6 linked regions of the Oryzias latipes genome follow. The protein of the gene in region 5 interacts with the protein of the main gene of each other region in a biochemical or structural test. Links are inferred from orthologs where the notes say so. Each region holds a gene or a part of one and is shown on either strand. Other genes may lie near its edges. The genes, in order: prkn, eif4ebp1, maf1, akt1, mtor and stat3.

Evidence for each region.
Region 1: of the proteins of mtor (region 5) and prkn, one has a biochemical effect on the other in vitro, tested with the Homo sapiens proteins (2 studies listed by BioGRID). The link is inferred for Oryzias latipes from reciprocal best matches to the Homo sapiens genes MTOR and PRKN.
Region 2: of the proteins of mtor (region 5) and eif4ebp1, one has a biochemical effect on the other in vitro, tested with the Homo sapiens proteins (29 studies listed by BioGRID and IntAct, with this or other methods). The link is inferred for Oryzias latipes from reciprocal best matches to the Homo sapiens genes MTOR and EIF4EBP1.
Region 3: of the proteins of mtor (region 5) and maf1, one has a biochemical effect on the other in vitro, tested with the Homo sapiens proteins (2 studies listed by BioGRID and IntAct). The link is inferred for Oryzias latipes from reciprocal best matches to the Homo sapiens genes MTOR and MAF1.
Region 4: of the proteins of mtor (region 5) and akt1, one has a biochemical effect on the other in vitro, tested with the Homo sapiens proteins (19 studies listed by BioGRID and IntAct, with this or other methods). The link is inferred for Oryzias latipes from reciprocal best matches to the Homo sapiens genes MTOR and AKT1.
Region 6: the proteins of mtor (region 5) and stat3 form a complex in vitro, tested with the Homo sapiens proteins (2 studies listed by BioGRID, with this or other methods). The link is inferred for Oryzias latipes from reciprocal best matches to the Homo sapiens genes MTOR and STAT3.

Annotation. Positions count from the first base shown.
Region 1 is NC_019873.2:12,968,318-12,971,817, forward strand, and holds part of prkn (E3 ubiquitin-protein ligase parkin), read left to right. Parts: intron 1-413; coding exon 414-550; intron 551-2,721; coding exon 2,722-2,783; intron 2,784-3,391; coding exon 3,392-3,500. UniProt on the Homo sapiens protein: Functions within a multiprotein E3 ubiquitin ligase complex, catalyzing the covalent attachment of ubiquitin moieties onto substrate proteins. Substrates include SYT11 and VDAC1.
Region 2 is NC_019867.2:12,548,044-12,552,026, forward strand, and holds the start of eif4ebp1 (eukaryotic translation initiation factor 4E-binding protein 1), read left to right. Parts: upstream 1-1,183; 5' UTR 1,184-1,491; coding exon 1,492-1,627; intron 1,628-3,029; coding exon 3,030-3,218; intron 3,219-3,641; coding exon 3,642-3,673; 3' UTR 3,674-3,983. UniProt on the Homo sapiens protein: Repressor of translation initiation that regulates EIF4E activity by preventing its assembly into the eIF4F complex: hypophosphorylated form competes with EIF4G1/EIF4G3 and strongly binds to EIF4E, leading to repress translation.
Region 3 is NC_019878.2:20,068,124-20,072,135, forward strand, and holds the start of maf1 (repressor of RNA polymerase III transcription MAF1 homolog), read left to right. Parts: upstream 1-1,212; 5' UTR 1,213-1,764; intron 1,765-2,015; 5' UTR 2,016-2,017; coding exon 2,018-2,100; intron 2,101-4,012. Other genes in the region: zfand1 (AN1-type zinc finger protein 1), read left to right, coding at 1-4, 127-282, 612-782. UniProt on the Homo sapiens protein: Plays a role in the repression of RNA polymerase III-mediated transcription in response to changing nutritional, environmental and cellular stress conditions to balance the production of highly abundant tRNAs, 5S rRNA, and other small non-coding RNAs with cell growth and maintenance.
Region 4 is NC_019880.2:14,666,888-14,671,022, forward strand, and holds the start of akt1 (RAC-alpha serine/threonine-protein kinase), read left to right. Parts: upstream 1-1,335; 5' UTR 1,336-1,588; intron 1,589-4,135. UniProt on the Homo sapiens protein: AKT1 is one of 3 closely related serine/threonine-protein kinases (AKT1, AKT2 and AKT3) called the AKT kinase, and which regulate many processes including metabolism, proliferation, cell survival, growth and angiogenesis.
Region 5 is NC_019865.2:1,214,094-1,218,283, reverse strand, and holds the start of mtor (serine/threonine-protein kinase mTOR), read left to right. Parts: upstream 1-1,390; 5' UTR 1,391-1,544; intron 1,545-2,027; 5' UTR 2,028-2,035; coding exon 2,036-2,164; intron 2,165-2,237; coding exon 2,238-2,346; intron 2,347-2,430; coding exon 2,431-2,663; intron 2,664-3,414; coding exon 3,415-3,615; intron 3,616-3,713; coding exon 3,714-3,848; intron 3,849-3,922; coding exon 3,923-4,190. UniProt on the Homo sapiens protein: Serine/threonine protein kinase which is a central regulator of cellular metabolism, growth and survival in response to hormones, growth factors, nutrients, energy and stress signals.
Region 6 is NC_019866.2:6,345,275-6,349,292, reverse strand, and holds the start of stat3 (signal transducer and activator of transcription 3), read left to right. Parts: upstream 1-1,218; 5' UTR 1,219-1,417; intron 1,418-3,551; 5' UTR 3,552-3,573; coding exon 3,574-3,701; intron 3,702-4,016; coding exon 4,017-4,018. UniProt on the Homo sapiens protein: Signal transducer and transcription activator that mediates cellular responses to interleukins, KITLG/SCF, LEP and other growth factors. Once activated, recruits coactivators, such as NCOA1 or MED1, to the promoter region of the target gene.

The sequences.
Region 1 (3,500 bases), on a different chromosome or scaffold from region 5:
GCAATCCTGTTTCATGTTTGGAAATCACATTTCGTGCACTACTATCTATTCCTCAGTGTGTTCTGCCACAAACACCCGCAAAGCACACTCATCAAAGGCAAACACACTAGATGGATTCTTGCAAGCGGTATTTTACTGAAACTATTCGTTAAAAAAAAATCAAGTGAAACTTGTTTTTGGACACGTTGTCAAGTTTGCACATGATTTTATGTGTGGAAACCTGTATGAAGTCGGGGGTTGAATCATGCCAGCTGACATAAACATGAAAATGAACATTAAATTGAAAAAATAACTTTATCTTTAACTTTAACTGTAAATTTGAATGTCATTACTTTGCTCTGACACTTCAAACTGCAGTTTGGCCCACCTAAGCACAAACTCACTCTCACGTATGGTTTTCTTTTGTCTTTTAGGGGCGTGGTCCTGGTCTTCCAGTGCTCAGAGCGCCATGTGATATGTCTGGACTGTTTCCGTCTGTACTGTCAGAGCCGCCTGAACGAGCGACAGTTTGTTCACCACGCTGCGATTGGATACTCTCTGCCGTGTGCAGGTGAGAAGCGGGGGGTCAGTGTGGTGACCGTTTGCATGTCAGAGTTACACCTACAGGGTCGTCATTCGCATTCACAGCTTTGCTGCTGCTACAAGATGTCCATGTGGACTTCCTCTGTGCCTGCAACTGTTTCCAAAGCCCACCAGCACCTTTCTGTGCTTCTAAGCTGAGTAACCATTTCCAGAAATGCCCACAGTGTGAAGTTAATAAAGTGAAGTACATGAAGACAATCCTAAAAAACAACAACAACACAGCTAAAGAGTTGCTCGTGTCCTTCTCCAGAGGTTCCGTCAAAAGTGAACAGATTTACTAAATCTTGGTGTAGTATTCCGTAAACAATCCCTCTCACCGAAGCATCAATAACTCAGCACAAAAGACCACCAACTGCGTTTTCCTTTTTTTTTAGGAGGTGTCTAAGATTTGGAGCTGTGGTACAGTCACCACCATGCTGAAAGATTCACCTCCTTCACCACATCACCTGTTTTGACTGTTATTATTGGGTGGTGGAGGACAATAAAGACCAAAACAAACAGGAACAGACCACACCCCAAAGCAAAGAAGAAATGAACATATGCCTCCTTGGGTGTACTTTTTTGTACTAAAAATGCACATTCCATTTGTACACACAATATTGTTCACGATTCTGTTTACTTTTATTGGTAACATTTCTGCTATTGTTCACAATTTAACCTTGGAGGTGAAGAGGTCAGGTGGAGAAGCCTCTTCCTTGGCAAACCTTGGCTTGATAACTTTGGTGCTACGGAAATAGCCAACAAATATAGGAACCAGCCTATGGTTCCTCAGGCAAAGGGTCAAATCAGAACCTTCTGGTCCCCGCCTGGTACTGAGGAAAAAACTGTTTATGGTCATTGGCTCAGATTCAATGGCTCTCCAGAGTAACGAGAGCCTGTTGAGCCCTTCATGGTGGTTCAAACTCACAAACATGGACCCTGATAACAGAGGATAGGGGGGCTGGTCTTGCGTTTCTGGTTAACCTTTCAGATTTGCCCACTGGGCTGTGGATGGAAACCAAATAAAAGGCTAACTGTGATCCTAGACAGCTGACAGAACTCTGACCAAAATAAGCAGGCTTGTAATCTGAAGACTTGATGAAGGAGTCTCAGTTCCCTTACTTGACAACCTGGGTTGTTGTTGTTCACTTTTCAGCACATCCCTTCAGGGGTTGCAACAGTTTATCAGCTTTGACTGATTCAAACATGTGGTTTGGGAGAGATTTTTATGCCGGATGCCCTTCCCGACACAACCCTGTATTTTATCCAGGCTGGGGACCGACACAGGGAGACCCAGACTGTAACTTGTCTGTAACTTGTGTTGTAAAAGTTTGTGGACTCCCGAAAAACAGCAACAACTCAGGACTTGAGAGTATCATTTAAAATGGAACTTGAAGAGTTTACAGAAGTAAACATGTCAGGGCATTGGTACCTGTTCTATGAAATGACAGTAGTATACTCATGACTGGGAAAATCCCAATACCAGGAAAATGCCTGTACTTTTTCAGCTTTGTTTCAACTGTCTCTACCAATTTGCATATAGCTGAGCTATAATCAAAGATGGATGACAACAGAGTTCTTAATAAAACGTAATTTCAATTAGAAAGTTTCTCAACATCTGGGATTTACTTTCTACAAGACAAAATTTCCAACAAACTGCTAGGAAATGACACAAACAGTAATAAAATGTTATTTTTTTTCTATTCTCACCAAAAGCCTTGGTTAGTTTCATCTGCAAAAATTGGAGTGAAACATGAATGAGGTAAGGGCTTTTCCTGCTGGAGGTGCATCTAGAGGTCTGAGGCACCTCACTCCAGTTGGTGGTCAGTAGACATGAAGGATCATGAACTTTAGAAATCCAAAGAAGATTTCAGCCTATAACCAGTTGTCTGTGATCCTAAGTCTGGGGAAAAAAACAGGTCAGAATCAAAAACAACAGTCTGATGACCCAAATCAAAAATGTAAAATGTGGGCAAATTAGTCCTGGACATTGATGAAGAACATGAGTCACTAGCTGGAATAGACTGTGAGCGGCATGGATGTAGGCAGGTACTCACCTGAACCAGACAAAACACCTTTTGTCAACATTTAAACAAGAGTGAGAGCACAAGCGTGAATCCGATCTGTATGTGTGTAAAGACGCTGCGTTTGTGTCTACAGCGGGCTGTGAGGACTCGCTGATCAAAGAGCTGCACCATTTCAGAGTTCTGGGTGACGACCAGGTAAGTGCACCTCAGATTCTCTGCCACAGCATCAGGAACACATGCTGAGCACAAGGGCTCTGACACCCACGTTGAAGACAAGCCGCTGGAGTTCAGAGGCTCTGATGATGACGGAAGAGGGATGAGCCGCTATTGAAACTGTGTAGGTGACCTCATGGGCACCCAGCAGGTCCAGGACTCTTCATCACCACCATTCTGAGCTTTGATGCAGCACCCACCAGCTCGGCCTGCTGACACACGGACGTTAGGGGATGATGCTGCTCCAAAGTGATGTGCACTCGGAGTTTCAGCAGGTCCTCATGCTGCCCTGTGATTGGCTGACAAAGAGCTTTCATCAAAAAGCAGCTGCTGCGGCCATGTGCAAATAAGCCAATGTTTTTTAGACGGACCTTTTTTTCATAGAATTAAATCACAAAATAAACTATCACACAATAAAAGAAGAAACAAACTCTTTTTGTAAAAATATACCTGCTATAAAAATAAATATTCACTCTACAATGTGATGTAGGTAAATCTCACTTGTAACACAAAGGAAGAGACTCAATCCTTCCCACCTGTGCACAGGTAACTTGCGGTCTCAGTCCTCTTTCTCTATCTGTATCTTACAGTATGCACGGTACCAGCAATATGCCACTGAGGAGTGCCTACTGAAAATGGGAGGACTCATGTGTCCGGCACCTGGTTGTGGGGCGGGGCTCCTGCCCTCTGACCCCTGCA
Region 2 (3,983 bases), on a different chromosome or scaffold from region 5:
TATTCCTTTAGAATGGTTTGGAGACATTATTGCAGTAATATTACTCTATACTAAGGAATGCAACTGCACACATGCACAGAAGATGTTTTTAAAAATGAAAAGAGTATATATATATATATATATATATATATATATATATATATATATATATATATATATATATATATATATATATATATATATATAAAATGAAATATATAAACATATATATTTATTTAGAATGCTATGCACCCTTACTTGTCAAATGGGATTCTAGTTATGTTATGGATGTACTTTTAGCATCATACAGCTGTAGCTACCAAGAGACTGTTGAGTTCTGGGTAATGCCTGCAACACTGGGACAAATAGGGGTATTGTGGGTATTTTAACTAGTTTTGCTTCCTTTTTTTATTTTCATGGAGAGTCAAAGATGGATTTAAAATGTACTTGTAAAATCCTTTTAATCCAATCAAAATACAAGGACATCTATTGACAATTTACTCTGTACACCAGCTCAACATTTACAAAATTAATAAAGAAATGAAATGTCTTTGTGTATGGTGAGTTTGCTTTTGTTTAAGGTACTCCATGACACATCAATTAAGCAATGATCTTAACATGTATGCAATGAGCTTTGTATGTTTCCACAACTGAAAATCACAAACAATTCTATCTTATCAGACTAAATAACTAACCAATTTAAACATTTTTTCCCAAAAATAATCTGCAAAACACATTCAGGTGCATAAGATTTTTAGAGGTGCACAAAACAAAATCTTCTAGGTTTCAAACTATTGGAAATGCCAAGGTATCTCCTTTTTTGTTAAGTGCAAGCACTAAAATATCATGTTTAAACTAAACTACTAACAGATTTTACGCTGCTAATCAGCCTAAATATTTATTCTAGTCTATATTTATTCTGGATTGCTGAACTCTGTATGTTGTAGGGCCATGAGGGAGAAGCACCCAGCTTGATTCACAACTTGTTTATAGAAACCAAGATGAACCTCGTACAAGTTCACAAAAATGACTAGAGTCCTAACTAATCCACACTAAATGTGCGCAATTTGCTGTAAAAGTGAATATGTTTTTTTTGTTTTTATAGATCCCTTTGGATTGAAACTACAAAATCAATTCTACATTTGATTATTTTTTTAACGCTGGTGCAGTAGCGCCAGTCACCAGTAGAGGGCGTAGACGTTTTCTGGATAGCATTTTTCCCTGCAGTCATCTGTCTGTCTACCTTGCCTGTCTGTTGTTTTGTATGCATGTGGAAGTGGAGGAGCGTGTGTCCTGAGGTTCTTTTAACAAAGATTATCGACACCTCCTGTTTGTGAGAGCGCGTGTGGTGATAATTTGCACTTATGAAAAAGAGGTATTTATTTTTATTTATCAAAGGCAGCCGTTCTTTTGAGCCAAATAACTATCTGGCTTTGCCCTGGGACGCCCAGAATTTCTTTTCGTGGCATATTATTTAGTTAGATAGTTTTAGTACAAGAGTCCTAAGAAAAGATGTCCACCGAATGCCAGAAAACAACTGCTAAGGCCATTCCGTCCACAAAGAGAGTAACCATCAACAACGCTGATCACATGCCCCACGACTACTCCACTACCCCCGGAGGGACCCTGTTCAGCACCACACCGGGTGGTATGTATAGAAATTTCAAGTCTTTTTCCAACACAAAACACGCATGTGCGAAGATTTACTCAGATTCACGCCACATGGGACCCACATCCTTTTAGATCATCGCTACTGTACAGCCAGCTGATAGCTTGCAGTTAAGCTAGCTGCTAATGCTAGCTAGCGGGTGTTTATTTTAAGCTAGTTTAAAGTAACTCAGTCGTATGCATTTTAAAAATTTGACATATTGTTACATATCTTTATTCTGCTCAAATTGTCTGCTTGTGTTTGAAGTGTTTATCTTGGGTTTCTTGCTTTCTTTTAGCTCTGGCTGTACTTGTTGCTAAAGCTGGACAGAATAGCATGTGGGCGGAGCTTAAGATGTGAAGGGATTTACGGGTCAGGGGTGGGCCTCGGCCTTAGAGGGGCAGGATTTATAAAAACACGAGCTGGAAGGGGTGGGCTTAAACATCAGACTCCGCCCTTCCAAACCTTGTACTGTTACACGTAAATGTAATAATATTTTCCACAGTTCATTGAAGGTGTAACTTTTATACAAAACCAACATGATATTCCACCAGCAACAAGCCTCTCAAAACTATTTATCTGTCATTCTTTACATATATTTATTTTTTATAATCCCACTGGCTGTTTATTATTGTCTCTGTATTGTACACTGTGTACTACATTGGTACACAGATGACCTGATCCCAATGGCGATATGATGTACACATTACATCTGAACCATTAGAGTCGGATCCTGAAATACTTAAATTAAATGTGTCCAAACCAAGATTCCAGATTTTAATGTTGATCTTAAAAGTCATATTTTAACACTTCAAAGCATTTATGTATGTACTTAAAATAATTGCTTTATTTGTTCAAAACGACGGAAGTAAATGGGTCATGTTGTGTTTTCTTTCTCGTTTGGTAAAACTACAGGGTTCACACTGTGTGGCAGCACATTGCATGCTATTTCTAAAGAACAGGGGAGCATGTGCATCAGGTTAATAATTGCTGGAAATAAGCGGTAGCTCCGTTTTTGTGTTGCTTGAGAAAGGTGTCCACCTGAGTGGGGTGGTTGAAGTAAATGGAAGTAAAATTATTTGAAATGTTATTTTTAATCATTTGCATTGATATACACACTAGTTTAATGATTTTTACTGCCTTTTTATGTGGAATTCCTTAGAGATGTGAGCCAAAAAAAAGCATTTTTCTGATAAATCAGTCTTGATCGTCTAACCTGAATACACCTGAAATTATGTTAGCTTTTTTAAACTGCTGGGTGCACTTTTGATCTAGCTTAATGATTATCAGTTGTCTTTTGTGTTCTATGTTTCACTTAACTTATTCATTCCAAAGCCATTTTTCTGGAAAAGCGGACAATTGAAAAAATGTTCTGACGCACAAAGCGTTTCTGCACAAACAGGTACTCGGATCATCTACGACCGGAAGTTCTTGCTGGAGTGTCGGAGCTCTCCTTTGGCAAAGACTCCTCCACGAGGCCTTCCCAGCATTCCAGGGGTGACCAGTCCTCCAACCAAAGAGTTCAACAAGAAGACCCTTAATGGAGAAGTAGTGAACATAGACACGCCTGCGGCTGACAGTAGCAGTGCAGGTATGTTCACAAATCATAGTCTGACCAAAGTATTTAAAAGAGTCAAATTTGGCATTTTGCTCCAGCATAGTGTTGTGTATAACATTTAATGAATCCATCCACAATAGGTAGAACATGGAGTTATTTTAGGCCAAATGCATGTAGTGGTGCAATTTCCAGTGTAATAAAGTTTCTTGTCTGCTTGTAAAAGAAAAAAAAACTTAGTCTTGCAATATAGCATACATAATTAGATGTATTCTAGTTGGGGTTTTTCTACTAAATGTAGAATTTGGTAGCTAAATGCTTAAAGAAGAATAAGCAAGTTGATGCACCTTAATCTTGAAGCAAGATTGTTTATTTTGACTGAAAACATTGTCTGTCAACGTCCTTGTTGCCTCCTGAATTTTAGAAAGTTAAAGTATAATTTTTGTGTGCTTTTTCTAGGTGACGATGCGCAGTTTGAAATGGATATATAGGTGGATCCAATGCTGTGAATGGAGTATCTGGAACGTCTCCTCTTATCCCATCATCATTTCTTTGGAGGAAAAGTGATCTCTTTTAGAATCTGGGTTAAAAATGTCTGTCTTTGATACTCATATTAATGCCTGAAGATCACAAGCCTTTTTTTTTATTCTATTCAAGGTCTAAAACCTATTTGCTGATGATAAAGTGTGCCTTCATGTAGTGGCATCAAACGGAACACAGACACCAACAATGCCTCATCAGTCAGCAGCAAGAAAGTTTAGACATAAAGAGCTCATTTTCATCAGATCAGGAGTGTTCCAG
Region 3 (4,012 bases), on a different chromosome or scaffold from region 5:
TCAGGTAGTTTTAAATGTAAAACTTTATTGTAATCACATCTGTTTTTGTCATTATTATATTTGGGGCATTACTTATATAACACCTCATTTTTTTATCATATTGTTTGCTGTATTTTGGTTTTCCAGACAGAGAGGACATATTTTCAGGTTTATCTTCCTAAAGAATCCAAGGACAGAAGCCTCCCCATGTTCTTCAGTTCTAAATGGAGTGTGGGGAAAGTGGTGGATTATGCGGCTTCTATGGCCGGTCTGAAGAACAACAATAATGTTCTGACAGCAAAGGTAAATGTTGGGGAGCAAATACTGATAGTTCAGTAAAATTCACCAACCACTGCTACACCTGCCGTCTTGTGTTCTGTAAAAAAAAACTCTACTTGTTTTTCATTCTATTCAACAGTTCAACCACTTCCTGTGCTTCGGTTATAAATGTTTTATCTATCATTTCTGATATATTTCAACTAAATGTTGAGTAATAAAAAAAGTAAAATGTGCTTGGAGATACAAGTATTGATACAAAAGCAGGTCTTTTGTGTTAGTTTGAAGCTTATAAAAAATAATGTTTCTTTCATTGCCTTTATGCCGTAACAGTACCATTATCTGCCGATTTGCAGAAGCTGCGATTCTGCCATCCTCAAACAGGTGAAGCTCTTCAGATGGATGACACGCTGATCTCACTGCTGTCTCACCCAGACACTCCTCTATTTAATGGGGGTAATGTGATCCTGGAGTACCTGGATAATGAGTGCAAAGGCTTGGAGGACATTTCAGACTATATTACTTAGATGTGATCCATCTACGCTACCTAGTGTATGGATCTAGTGATTAAGCATTTTGTATTTATATCAATGCATTTTTCTTTTAAAATGTTTTTTTTTTTTGTATATGCACCTTGTGAAAAAAATAAAATAAAATGTTCTTGACGGAGAGCATATTCAGAAGAAGAGATTGATATTGCTTGATGTTTTTCTTATCATTCAAATGTGATGTTATTACCAAGTACAAAAAATCAGATTTATTTATTATATTTTAGATTTAAGTCAAAAAAGCCCTGTCTTCTTTCTGTTCTTGCAAATTGTTATATCCTAATGACTAAACCTAACAACATGTACTTTATAAGCTCCTCAGACTGAAAGGAAAATGTAGCCAATCACGAGAGTGCACGAGCAGTAGGCGTGTCCATCATCCGCATATAAATGTAAGGGGCTGGGCTTTCTGACACAGTGTATTCCGTTGTTTTGATGTGAGAAGAGCCTTTGTTTTTGGTTTCGACGTATTGCTACGTTAGTTAACCGCTATTCTTTATTAATAACATTTTCGCTACTCTTTTTTTTCTTTTCTTCCTGATCGAGTCGCTGAAAAAGGAGCGACTTGATCCCGCTAATACAATTCGCTTTGTGGAAATCAGGTCAAAAGGGATGCCGCTGCAGAAAGACTCCGACGGACGCCAACAGTCTTTGGATTTAATCTCATCGCATATAATCGGAGAAAGCAGCTTCTGTATAAAATTAAAAGCCCTCAGAATAATTCCTGCTCGACCGAGTGCTTCTGAAAGATACCCGAGCTTGAGTTCACACTAAGGCTCGGTGGCGAACACAGAGAAGAGGCGTAACAACAATTAGCAAGTGCTAGCGTTAGCAGAGGAACAACAACAACAACAGCGGATCGTTGATTTTTCTGTAAGTGTTCGGTTAAGAGGTCAGATTTTTACGGGGACTTGGATTTAAAAGCTTTTGCTGTGTGACTGCGGTGAGAAGGCTTTTGTTGGTAAGTGAATTCAATCATTTTATTAAACCAGGAAGACGATTTATCACTTTCTTTTCGGGGGTGGGGGAGGGGCAGCTGCTTCTAATTGGGGGAAATGTCCTCGCGGGGCGCTGTTCTCTGTCGGTTGTAATTAATTAATACATACACTTTAAAAGAAATGCGTTATAACGTTTTAATGCACTCGCATTTTTTATGGGGTAGTTTAAAAAAGAAAGTATTCAAAATATTATAACGTTTTTTGTATTTTACAGCCATGAAGCTGTTGGAAAACTCCAGTTTTGAAGCTCTCAGCTCCAGACTTTGCGTTGAAACTGGAGAATCTCGTATCATTGGAAGGTAAAAGACTGTGCAACCTTTAATTTTTTTTAATGTTCTTCTTATTTAGTCATGGTAGCTTGTATGTACTTTTAAGGAAGTTGTGGAATCCCCCCCCCAGACTTGTAGAAACTCATTATTGGCTGCCAGCCTCTGATCTTCAGATATTTACTATTATTTCAGCTTTATATGGAGACATTTTCCTTATTTCTTTTCCCCAATAAGAAATCTGAAATGTCCATCTTTACTCATCTTTAAACTTCAATTTTATTGCACATGTATATTTATGCTTTTATTTCAGCTCCGTTGCTTCAAATATGCTTGTTCAATTTCCTTCATTCCTTGAAATGTCTTCACGGCAGAAGCACTTGAGCAATGTTTTGCATGTTGCACACCTCATGACTTGTTTAAAGTTTTCCTTCTGCAGACAAGATCCTATCAACCTGAAGGGTTGGTTAGGGGGTGTGGACTGTGGAAAGATGAATAACTCCTGTGTCACAAGTGGGGTAGTGGAGCAGACAAGCGCCTTCATGTTATGCAATACTATGATAAAACAACTATGGCAGACTGAAAGTCCTCAGATAACCCAAAGTTCTTGCAATTGACTCTGAAAGCTTAGAACACCCCCCCTGCATTCTACAAGTTATGTAAACCCTCCAGGCTGGGCTTGTAAATACAGATGCAGTGTCAGTGTTGTTATATAAAAGCTAGTAGGCTGTGGAATAACGCTGCTCTATTTTGCGTGGGTGGTGAAACTGAGCTCTGCAGCAGAGGCTGAAAAAGTGTCGCAGATCACGGGGTCCTCTGTGGTTATTTTGGAGACTGTTGTTAGGAGCGCCACCGTGCACGTCTGTGCGTGCAATGCACAACAGCTGAGTCCCGCTGCCGTTAAGGCTGCTTAGTGGATTATGGAGGGAACTGAGCTAAGACTGGGACATAGTTACAATATTTTCTGCGGATTCATTAAAAAAGTTTCTTTTTGGGTGTCACAACATTCATTTTTTTTGGAAGTGCAACAGCTAAATTATGTAAAGAGCCGTGTTGATGAGCTATTTTCCCTTTGTCGTCTGGTTACCCATGCTGTTTATTTTGGCAGGACAGCTGTGTGTAGATGCCAGTGCTACTATTTCCACGGCTTTATCCTGTGATGTTTCTATATTTAGTCTGCAGCGATCCAAAGAGGTCTTGAAGGTTTAGTGTCTCTACCAGACTGCACTTGTGTGACCTGTTCTTGAGTAGGAGCAAAATAAACACCATTCTGCTCCACTCGGGTGTCTTATCAGCGACAACAGACCCAGAAACTTGAGAATGGAAAATCTTTAGCTGGAACTAGTCTTGTGTTTCTGCACATCTACTAGAAGATGTCTTAATTGCATGTATAATAAATGCCATGGTATTATGTTATAGCAGTAATTTAGTCTAATTGTGGCATTTTTCTGATGGAGGACAAATATTAAGTAAATTAATCTGAAAATTGTGTTGTAAGGTATTCATATTGTTGTGAATCAGGAGCTAATGGAAAAATTCTAAATTGTATTTTTTGTATTTGTCACAGCCTCCTGGCTCCGCTCAATGCCATTTAATTGTTGACGAGTAGATCCATGTACGTCTACGTCTATCTGAATCAAAACTGTACGAATGGATAGCTCGCCATTTTTGTTGCACTAGGCTCGATGATTAAGACCATAGATGATGGAAGTGGGTCTTCAAACTTAAGAAATCCATTCATGTCGTATGTTATCCATGCATTTGTGAGACCCCTATTTCATTTGTTTGATCCCAATTTGATATAATTTTAAAAACTTTACTGTGAGAATAACTATAATCTGTTGTTGTTATTGGTTTTTTTAAATGACAACTTTCTGTGATAAAGAATGCAAAATTTGTTAATAATTAATTATTTATCGTGCAGTTACCCCATGTTAAAAAATGT
Region 4 (4,135 bases), on a different chromosome or scaffold from region 5:
TGGAAATGCGGAGAGTAAACCAGTCAATATGAGGGTTATGAAGTTGGAGCAAGGAGCACCCCAGAATTATAAGGGTCTGAGGAAATTGAGTAAAAAAAAAATCTATGATATTCTCTATGGTTACCGGAGGTGAGAATGAGAATAAGTTTGGAACGATTCGTGATCCGGGAAAGTTGTTGACCACCTAACCCGGCAGCGTTGGAGAGTCGAGTGGCCCGGTGGGTAACGTGAGTTGTTTAAGGAGATGCTGATCGATGAGGCTGTGTTCAGCGCCAGAGTCAATAAGAGCCCTATATTCGTGAATGAAAATTGGGGAGAGATTCTACAGGAACAAAAATAAATTTATTTTCTTTGGAGTTTTCAGAATTATCCCCCCGTGGCCAGTCATCTAACAGGGGGTACTGGAGTTTAAACGGATGGTGCATTGTGATACTAAGTGACCAGAGTTCCCACAATAAAAGCATAACCCCTCTTTTAGAATGATAATAATATTGAAAAAGTGTCAAAAAATGTATACTGTATGTAATAAAAGTAAATACTTATGTGTAGTGCATGAAAATAAGGGGCATAAATAAAATGTACCTTTTTTTATATATTTTACTGGAAAGATCAAGTTTTTTCCACACCAAGCCTTGCATATTTATCATTCTTGACATTTAAAGTCTTTACTGATTTATACGTATTTTAACAAAAAACACATTATTTGTTCCAACCAGCTTTATATTTGTTTAATCGTCCTATCCAACTGCTTTATATTTGCTATAAAAAATAAAAATAAAAAACAAACACACACACACACAAAATTGAGACAAAAACTTATTTATTTGGTGACATTCATGCATTTATTTTTGATTCACTTTTTCCAACGTGTGCTTTTTTCATGTTTATTCTGTGACAAAGACTCTCAGCATCTTCCTCTCAGCCTCCTTCCTCCTCATCCTATTTTCTTTTGACAATCATCCTTCAAATTCTGCACTTTCACTTCTGCCCTGGACCTGTTGTTTTCTCTGAGTGATCATACCAGCAAAGATTACAGCCACAGCAAATTAACAAAAATGAATCACCACTGACTTCCTACAGTAAATCAATCTTGAACAGAATCTCATGTTCCATGAAGTGAATCAAGTCATTCATTGCAGGAAGGACCCCTTCAAACATTAGCGGGACCTCTGGGGGTCCAAACACCCGCTTCACCACCAGATAGAACACAGAGGAGTTCATCAAGTGCATCCAGACCTCGCAGACCCGCTCCATTAAAAAAAAAAAAAATCATTTCTCCCAAACGGGACAGCAGAGATCCAACGGCTCGTCTTGTGGAGCTGATAAAAGACCAGCGCTAGGACCCGGGAGAGCCGGGCCGCCACAGAGGCATTGCAGACAGCGCGTTTGGGAGGTGTAGTGGAAGAAAGGCAAGAGAAACGGAGTAAATGAGAGACTTCTGTGCACATTGTTGAAGGACTTACCAACTCAAAATACCGCCGAAACGGCCCACTGTAATGAGACGGACACGCTGTTGAGTTCCCGCACAGGTAAACGGCCGCGTTTTCCGTCGCGTGGTTAAACTGCAAGAGGCCGACAGCCAGACAGGGTAGGTCCCCATTGTACTTACATGGGATGCGGTTATTCTCACCCAAGCTGCCCTGCTAGGCCCCATATCCTTTTTTTATCCATTGCGAAGTGAAAACCCCCGAAATGAGACACTTTTATGGCTCTTTTTTGTCGCCGTAGAATCGCCGCGTTCCAGTTTAGGGCTTATGAACTCGTTGTGGTTTTGCACCAACCGCAGAAAGACACTTTTTTCAGACGCTAATCATTCATTTTTCGTTTCTTTGTGAAGACTCACGGAAAATATTGACGTAATTGGGCCTTAAAGAAATAAAAGAATAAATAAAAAAAGTTGAGTCCAAACTAAATGCTCAATAATAGACAGAGCAGCTCATTCATTGTTATCTATTAGCACTTTGTTTACTGCTTCTTCTTCTTGAGCTCAGAAATGCTGCCACACATTTCAGCTTCAGCTATTAAAGGTTTGTTTCTATCACTGTCAACAAATCTTTGCTGGGAATTGTCACCCTGCACTCTTGAAAACGTGTCCTTTCAGTCATTTTATGTTTTTTGGCCTCTGGCTTTCGGACACCAGGGAGGTCTCAAGGAGAGGCCTCAACTGTTATTTTCATGTTTTCCTCTCCAGTAATCAGTTCAATGACATAATGCTTGTTTTTATGGTTTCTACTGCCCTCACTGTCATTATTCCACCTACAGCGATGACTGTTACTAAAAGCATCCCATTTAGCCAAAGGTAGTTTATTTTCTTTTCTTTTTTTTCCTCCCCAGCAGTCTTATAGATGTGGAGGTGCTGCACATGGGAACAGGACAGCCTTCATGGAAGTGTGAAATCATGTTTGACTTCCGTCTCTGGAAGTTTCCAGAACATTGTCCCCAGGCGGGCTGTTCTCTTGAGTGTCAAAGTTGTTTTGTTGGTCATGAGATTGCATTGCCTCAGTTTGTGTACACAAGGGGACGCGACATGTGACCCCCGGAGAGGACGCAACAAGCTGGCGTGGTGATGCAGCCAGTGACTGCTGGGCTCTCCCTGTTTTATTTAGAAAATACCAGCAGCCTCCCACCCAATGCCCTCGCAGCTTCATTGACGCAAATGTGCCACCGGTTGCATGCTGGATCAGAGGGTTGTTGCTTGAAACGTTTGGTTTCTGCAAAAGAGACTCCCAGATGGTCCAGGCTGTTGCGCAGGTGAGTCAGGTTGCCTTCAAATTGGCTTCTCCATCGTTTGATGGAAAAAACAAAAAAACAAAAACAATCACATCAGAGAAGAGCTCAAAGTTGAGCTCTGAGCTGCATCTGTACACTTCTGCACAGCCTGTCTGGACAGCCTGAAAGTGAAAACAGTTCTGGGAGTCATAAAGGGTTTGCTGTTCATGTCATCACAGGATTAAGCTTCTTGCTTGTCAAGATTGCTCCTACTGTGGTTTGGTATTTAGTAACAACTACTCCACTTAGCCTTAATATTATTATTATTGGTGATGTTATTTTTTTAAGGAACCTAAAAGAGGAACGCTGTACGGTGTAGTAGATCACACCAATGCCTGTTCCTATTGTGGCATTTAAAGCACACCAAGCATTGCCTCAATGTTTTCTTTTGCCAGGATCAGGGGAGAATGTTTGATCTCGTCTTTCTTGTAATGATTTCAAAAAAGAGTACTGTTCTACCTGTGTAACCACAAACCAGCTGCCAGGTTTTGCTTACTAAAACGGAAACAGAAAAATGAGGAAAACCAGATTTGAATCTATTGATTTGGAGTGAATTTGGTGGTGTCTTGATGACTGCTTGTTTTTTCTTTTTTGCTTCCTGCCTCTAACACATGGGACGGTTGTCTCTGTCCTCCCAGTCACAAGCAAACTATTTGACATCTTTTGCTTCATAGCACTGATTAGTATTGAAAGGGGTCCCCCCCCCCCCCCCCCCTCTCCCTGCAAAGGTTTAGATAGAAAAATGAATGATTGAAAGCGTCTCTGACATCAGGGCAGCCAGGCAGGCGGTGGCCCACCGGACTGCAGATCATGTGACCCGCTGTCAGGGTACTGGGTTCATTCAGTGGCTGCTGGCTGCAGCCCAGCTTTTCCACACAGCAGAGCCGCAGCAGCGACAGGTCGCTCCCGGTTTAAAAACAGCCAGATCTCTGTTGTGGCTCCAGAGTCAGACTTGTGTGCAGTGTCGCCATTTTGGTTTGTGCGACGGCTCCCGGTCTGTATGAAGGTATGAAAGCACGCATGCCGGTGTCACAGAGTCCGCCTTAAGATGCTGACGTGATCCCAACTGCTAGAGTGATTAACTGCGCTCTGTCTGTGTGCTTTTTACAAATCCACGTGCGCAGTGCTTCACACGGTGGCTGTGTGGGACAACACCAGCCACTGTGCAGTAAACACAAGCGGCGGCTTCAAGAGACTTCGAAGGTTTAGTCAATGATGGAAGTGAGAATGAAGCTGCAATAACAGACGCGCTCATCAGATATTAAATGACAGATGTTATCAAGCCCCGGGGCAGTTCTGATATGACTCGTAGGCTGTCGAGTCACATTCACTTCCTGTTGATGTCAAATAAGCTGGATGAGGTTAG
Region 5 (4,190 bases):
TGTAGAAAAAAGCTGATTGACAGAACTATCCTCTCCATTGTGAGGAAGTAAAATAAGGAAAAAATGTGTGCACTGATCTGTTCTCTAAATTTAATGTAGAAGAATGACGCTAAATCAGTTTTAGCCTCAAAAGTGGAAAATACAGGAGGGTTGAAGAAGAGAAACTGTAGCATCAGACAAATAAAAGATTGAAAGGTCTGTCGAAACTGAAGAGTAGGGTATGAGTGCCAGTTGATGACCTGTTGACCTGTTTGCCTTAACAAACTTCTAACATGTAACACCTACACTGAAATGCATAATAGACAAATGTTGGTCCAGATTTATTTGAAACAGTACAGAAGTATCCCATTTCCATTGGACTGATGGATTTAGGACTGTGAAGGTCTGGTTCAAGTGTTCTGTAACAACACAGCACAGATGGAGAGGTGGAAGATCTCAGACCTGACTTTACACCTGGACAATGTCTCCCCCCTGAGGAAGGCATGGGATCAAGTGTGTTACTGGGACACACCTGAAGACAGGTACAGCAACAACAACTTTCAATTGATTCCTGAGGTCAAATAAGATTTATGTAAAAAACCTAAAAGACAAAAAATATTAGTTGTAATGTATATTATTAAATAATTGTGTACAACTCTAAAATACATAAATTCCCAAATGCACTTTTTATATTTTTATTGTATTTTATTTATTTGCATGTGTGTTATTATTTTTTACTTACTTGTCCTGTCCAACAGCTGGGCAAACACATCAGGGCTGAGGGCTTCTTGTGTTAGACAGATTTTACTGTTACACTAGGGGTCATGAATCTTCTGACACGCGAGGTGTCTATTTGTATAAACCCCTTTGGGATTTGAGGCAAAACTTTATTCACATTTATTGTGTATGAATGCATTTTTTCTTGGACTGGACGGGGGGGGGCTGGGAGGTTAAGGAAATTGGAGGATGATTAAAGAAACACAAACAACACAAAGCAACAAGTTACTGGAGGTCCATCACTACAGTTTGGTATAGTTAGTCTAAAAGGGTAAGGCCTGACCCCAGACTCACTAAAATATGACAAAAACGTACTTTTTTAAAAGCTGCAATCATGCAACAGAAAAACACTGACCTTAGCAGAGATTTGCTTTGATTTTATTTTTTACTTTTAGTTTTTTTCGGTTTATTGAGAACCTTTTTTCATTACATCACTGCATGGATAACATTTAAGCTATTAAGTTGTAATTTATTTTCATTTTTTATTTTTTATTGTAAATGATGTATCCATTTCCCATTTGCATGTTACTGTTTGCGCCCTCATTCGGTGAACGTAGGTACTGCATAGCAGCTTCAACATCACACGTGGTTTAAGAACCGCCCAGCTGAGCTCAGAGAAAACCTGCGCAGTGAGCGTACTGCGCAGCACAGTGCCTGCGGAGCTACCAGCGTCCTTCCTGCTTATCCTGGCTAGCCGTCCGAGTGCTGGCATTCTAGTGTTCGCACTATGACAAACATTCCGCATTAACGACACAACAGAAACGTTTGCATCATACCAACACAAACAAGTAAGTGACCGCCTGTTCGATGCACGAGCTAGCTAAATCCTTGCACCCGCTAACAGTTGTTGAACACAGAAACGACTTAACGAGGGAGTCCCAGCTTATCATATCGCGTAAATGCAATGACCAGAACCTGGATGTGCCCGGTTTGAATTTGTAAAAGGAGGATTCGAAGTTGAAGTTTTAGAGTACTAAAACCGATGTTGTTACGTGCTAACGTAGCTAGCCCGCAACTAATGATGACGTCATCGAGGTCGAGTAAGGTCTGAACTTGACACTATTTTTCCATAACTCGACGTTTGGACGAACTCTGATTCTGCCTTTGTGTCGTTTATAATAATTCTTCTTCCAGAGTTTATATTCCAGATGTCAGTCGGGTTGTGTTTGTCCTTAAAGCGTGTTGTCATTCTCCGATTGTCTGACTCTTGTCTTTTAGTTATTTATGTTTTTCCTGGTGTAACACTGTGATGCCCGTGGTTGTCTTTCCAGCTGTCGCCATGGTGATCCTGTCAGGCACAGCCACAGTGCTGCAGCAGTTTGTCAGCGGCTTAAAGAGTCGAAACGAAGACACCCGAGCAAAGTCTGCCAAAGATCTGCAGCATTATGTGACCACAGAGCTGAGAGAGGTACCTGCACGGAAAACCGGGATGCTTCGACTGCCTCACACTTTGTTCTTCATTTTCTGATCTTCTGCTTCAGCTCAGCCAAGATGAAGCCACGACGTTCTACGACGAGTTAAACCACCACATATTTGAGCTGGTGTCCAGCTCTGACGTGAATGAGAAGAAAGGAGGCATACTCGCTATCGGTACGCTCAGTCACGACCTCCAACCCCACATGCCTGCTGTGTGTCCAGTTGCTTTATGTTGTTGGTGCTGCACCTATGTTCCAGTGAGTCTCATTGGCGTTGAGGGAGGAAATGCCACCAGGATCAGTCGCTTTGCCAACTACCTCCGCAACCTCCTGCCTTCCAGCGATCCTGTGGTCATGGAGATGGCCTCCAAAGCAATGGGCCACCTGTCTATGGCGGGAGACACCTTCACCGCTGAATATGTGGAGTTTGAAGTGAAGAGAGCTCTGGAGTGGCTGGGGGCCGACCGAAACGAAGGCAGGCGCCATGCAGCTGTGAGTCCCGGGCCGACCACACGGACTGTTTGTTGTGTAAACAGAATGCTCGCCATCCTGAAACTGTCCTGCCGCACTTTGGAGCTTCGGTTCTTGAATCATGTCTGACACATCTTTGGAAGTTTGAGTGTCGAGACAAAAGTTTCCACAAGTTACCGTTAAACAGGTCTGCAGTGTAACTTAGTGACGTTTATTTCTGTGAGACTTTTGCCAGAAAGAGTCATAAATGACGTGACCAACGACATTAGCAAAAGTCCTCATTGCAGCACCACAATTTGACCCGCGGCCGTCAGAAAGGGAAAGATTTCATTGCTGCCCTTAGCGTCTCAAGACGTAAAGGACAATAAGAAGAAGAATAACGCAACGTTCAACTGAGTCAAATGCAGAGAAAAGGTTAAAAAAAACCTAAACTGAGCATTTCCCAGTCACCTTCATGTCATTCAGATCTCCCTTTAGAGGCGTTTCAGTAGAAGGATGTCAGCAAAAGCCAGATTGAGATTGTTCTTCTGCAGTAAACTGCTCTGCAACAACCTTTTCTAGAATCTTTGAGACTAAAAAGAGTTTGGAGATGGTCCTTTAAGATTACTTTGAGATGGAGATGGATGGATTTAGCTTTTCTAACAGGACGCCTGTATCTGCTTTCCAATCAAAGGACTGATGTGATAAAACACAGCCGTTCATTTTAAAACACTGAGATGTTGACACGTCCATAATGAAGACCTGCTTCAAAGCTTTTCCTGCGTCTGTTCAGGTGTTGGTGCTGAGGGAGCTGGCCGTCAGCGCACCCACCTTCTTCTTCCAGCAAGTCCAGCCCTTCTTCGACAACATCTTTTATGCAGTCTGGGACCAGAAGCAGGCCATCCGAGAGGGCGCCGTGTCGGCCCTGCGAGCCTGTCTCATCCTCACCACCCAGAGGGAGACCAAAGAGATGCAGAAGCCTCAGTGGTACAAGGTGAGACAAACGGCATCCGTGTTTTTAACGGTTCCCTTCCCCAGAAGGTGACGGGTCTCGGCAGAAAGCCTCAGCCCTGTCCTTGTCGTGTCCCGCAGCAAACGTTTGAGGAGGCGGAGAAAGGCTTCGACGAGACTTTGGCTAAGGAGAAAGGGATGAATCGGGACGACAGGGTTCACGGGGCGCTCCTGATTCTGAACGAGCTGGTCCGCATCAGCAGCATGGAGGGAGAGGTGAGATCTCCGTCCACGGTGGACCAAGTCCCGGGTCAGGAAGCTTGACAGCTCACGGCCTTTTCTCCGTCCAGCGAATGCGTGAGGAGATGGAGGAGATCACACAGCAGCAGCTGGTCCACGACAAGTACTGCAAGGAGCTGATGGGATTTGGAACCAAGCCCCGCCATATTACGCCCTTCACCAGTTTCCAGTCGGTGCAGCCGCAGCAGTCAAACGCTTTGCTGGGCCTGCTGGGCTACAGCACGCCGCAGGGCTTCCTCACCTTCGGAGCCGCTCCGGTACCGGCCAAGAGCTCCCTGGTGGAGAGCCGGTACTGCCGTGAGCTGATGGAGGAGAGGT
Region 6 (4,018 bases), on a different chromosome or scaffold from region 5:
GTCCTGCACAACCAAAACTTTCATGGTTTATTTTTCATGGAAACCAGGTGAATTTGTGTGTCTGTTTCTGAATAAAGTGTGTGCACTGCAATTTGAAAAAAAAAAGACTCTGTTCATTAATCTTGAAGAAAAAAAGTCATTTTCTCTTGAAGAAAGGAGCCAAACAAAATGAGAAAAAGCTACTGTAATTGAAATTCTGCAGCTGATAGAATAGATTCAGCCGGTGACACCTCATTTCATTAAAAGCTAAGGACACACGGCTCCAGACAGGAGCAAAGGGTGGTTCCTCTTTGTCTCCCTACAGAGTTGTGATGACCTTGATGTGATGGAGACACATAGACACTCACTCTCTGGCAGAAAACAGCATTAAAATAATCAATGGGTGGGAAAATGCAATTAGGGAGAGTGCACTCTCAGAGCAGGATGGAGAGCAGACTAAAAGAGAAATAAAAAGCATGCACAGGGGTGGAATGATGTTGGTAGAAAATAAGAATGTGTTTATTAATAAGCACATTATTTACAATGGTGGAGGCAGGAAATATGTGTTTTAAGCCTGTAAAATAATACTTTTTTTGTACATTATAGAGTTATTACTTCTAAGAATCATGTGTTTCACTACAGTACATTTGGACTTGTTTAAATTTACAGTCATAACTAACACACTAGGAATAAGGTGAATACATTGCAACAGCAATGTAAGACCTGTTTTGGTTATGTTATTTGCATTTTTAATTAAAAATAAAGAAAACTGTACAACTTTATCGTTTGTTTACATTTTAATATTCAAGCCAGCAGTCAGAGTAGTCAATTAGTCATCATTTCTTTTTTTACTCTTCTACCGTGAAAAAGGTCTGGCTATTGTGAAGCAGTATCATTATCAAATTTGATGACGTCAACGTTGCCGGTAACTCAGATGACTTCCAGGCTGGCTGTTCTCTTGAAATACCAACCCTCCCTCTGAAATAAGCGAAACACACGGGCTTCCGTATAGTTCCGCGGGAGGGAGGGTTTGCTTTGAGGAACAGCTTCGTTGCGACAGCGGTAAACAGAGAAGGCTCAACCAAACTTGCTGCTACATCCCGCCTTATCTCCATATAAAGTCGTTTATAGTTGGTATAAAAAAAATTAGCGACTCTCATTGGCGGAATGAAATGTCAACCAAGTAGATTTGGAAGTTTGTTTGGCTGGAAAGACTGCAGTTTAGTTGATGGGCTGGGCGGGGGGGTACTTGTTTCTGAAAGTGGTTTCTCGTGGTGCGAAGATTACGGTTTGCGTTACACTATATTTGGGAGCACTTTTCCTCGTTTATGACGCTCAATTTCTACTTTTTCTTCGTTAAAAAGTTGTCGCTGACGTCTTTGTGAGCTTGTGTTTTTTGTGGGAAAGAGACCAAACTGCTCCGGATCCAACGAAGGTGGTAAGTCGTGACTCAGCTGTTAACATATTATTACACTAAAAAAAAAAAAAAAAAAACAAAGAAAAATTCAAAATATTGCCATTGTATTAGTTAGTTTTCTCCAAGGATGTCGTGCTAAAGCGAAGCTAGAGCTACAGCCATAACTTAGCTACAGTCAAATGTAATATAATTCTGTGAATGCATCATGCCTAAAGTTAGTGACAGACAGACAGACATCGTGTGCCAGGGGTCTTTCTTACGTAAGTCTTTAAACTAAAGCCATCACACATTTCAATGTTAGTTGCTGAGTGACGTTAGTTAGTAATAATATCACGACCAGGACTCAAAAGTGATGACGTTTTTGTGTTTCTTTTTCGACTATCCGGTGGTTGGTGCCTTAAATTTAAATAATTTACTTGTATGGAGGTCGTTGTTTATTGTTTTTTTCCTTAGTTGTCCCGCCCATCATATTTATGAAGAAAAGTACTGTTGTTCATTCGTAGCACAAATAAGATCTGCAGGTATATTTAAGCCCCCAATAGTTCTGAAAACGTACATAGAATTACATATACATGTATAGTATAAAGCATAAATATGGCTGCATGACAATTTTCTACATAAATATCATAAAATAGCATGCATTGTTGTCCCTGAGCCATCTCGCAGTCCCAGGCTTTGTAAAAGGGAAACTTGGCATGGTGACTGTGCTCTGATGTTTAATAAGGAAGTACTTTCCTGGAATATCACTGACCTTATGTAAGGATTGTGCATTACCAGTAAGTAACCACACAGAAAAGAAAAAAAAACACTACAGCAGTTCTCTTTCTGACTTTCTTATTAATCATTCTGATGATTTCTCAAATAGCAGTGACCTGCATGGAGCTTTGAGAAAGGAAAGAAAACGATTAATCAGTGACTGTAGTGAATTTGTGCGATTTTACATACCTAGATTTCTCAACATGATGCAGCAATGTCTACTTCATATTTCATTAAAATACAAAGATCAAACAGAAAGTTTCAGTGTTGTTGTTGTTGTTGTTGTTTTACTTTTTAGTACAAGGCTTTTCTGAAAATTTGTGATAAAAGTACTCCTGTATTTTTTCATGTAAGGAGGTTCGTTACAAGATTTTGCTTGTATTGCGATTATATATTATTATATATAATTTGCTGCAAAATAACATTAAAATAGTGATAGTACCCTAAAATGAGTTTCCTGTGTTGTGTCAGATAAGCTCTGAATACTCCAGTTTCAGTTTTGCTGTTAGAATAAATAGCATAAAACATTTTTTGTTTGTCCAAATGATATTTATTGCAATGAAAGTTCATACCCTGTATATTATTACAGCTTTGATCTGTATTCTCTGGGCAGGAAGAGCATTATTTTGGCTATTGAGAAGGTCATATGTATGAGTTTATTTTTTGTTTTGCTTTTTTCAAATACAGTGCAAGCATCTAGTTCACATTAGCAGAATCAACAATACAGACACTGTTGTGAGAAAGCTTGTGTAACAATAGTCAAAGCATTGTGTGAGCTTTCGGACAGAAACTGGAGCCTGTAACCTAATATGGGTGGTACAGGACATGTCTTTCTGTTAAATGCCTTGAATGGGAGCTCAATTTGCAAACAAGGAAGCAGTAGCCATCTTTTATCAGCTGAGTCAGCCAGCAGGATGTGATCGATAAATTCAAAAACAACAAAAAGTCCCAGATCGGCAGGTGGTTAATGCTTAAAACACACGCTCGGATTTGAAGGGAAATCCTAATCTGACAGTCGCCTATCGCTTCAGAGGAAATGGTTTGTCTGGGTTTTGATCCATGCCCTCTGCATCTGAGAGGAAGAAGTTTGCTTTGTCGGTGTTTCATGCAAAAGTTGCCGGGGCAATTCTTTGACCAGAGATAAGCTTTTCAATGCTTTACAGCTGTTCACTCTGACCTATATTTTTTAGGGGAAGGCACAGTTTCAGAGAACAGGAAATGACTTTTGGCAACGCGAGGCCTCAGCATTGGCCTGTTGTCGTTTTCAGAGAAATCTGATGTTCAACCATTTCCCATTGGTGCAGTCTGATGAAGAACATTGAGCGCGGTTTTCTAAAGTATCATTTTCTGTTGATTTTCTGCCTGTTTTGTGTTGATAAAGCAGTTTCATCTCTGGCAGATTTGAGGCAGTGCTTGTCAGGATGGCTCAGTGGAACCAGTTACAGCAGCTGGAGACCAGGTATCTGGAGCAGCTCTACCACTTGTACAGCGACAGCTTTCCAATGGAGCTACGCCAGTTTCTTGCACCCTGGATTGAAAGTCAAGACTGGTAAGAAATGATTCAAGTCTTTGTTTAAAAAGTCTGCTTTTATCTGCTAGATAAAGCTGACCTTGATCTTTCAGGGCTTTTAGGTTTGCAGCTATGAAGTCATAGCTCATATAAACACTTTCTCTCACATTTTATGTTACTGCAATGCACTTTACCATGTTCAATTTGAACTTTTTGTGTTGTGATCACACACAAAAATTATAGTCTTTAAATATTTTCACAAAGTTGGGATTTCTTTTCAATAAACCTGGGAATTTTGTGTTGTTGGAATCTGGAAATCGATATGTTTTTGTGTTCCCCCCACTATTTTCTAAGGG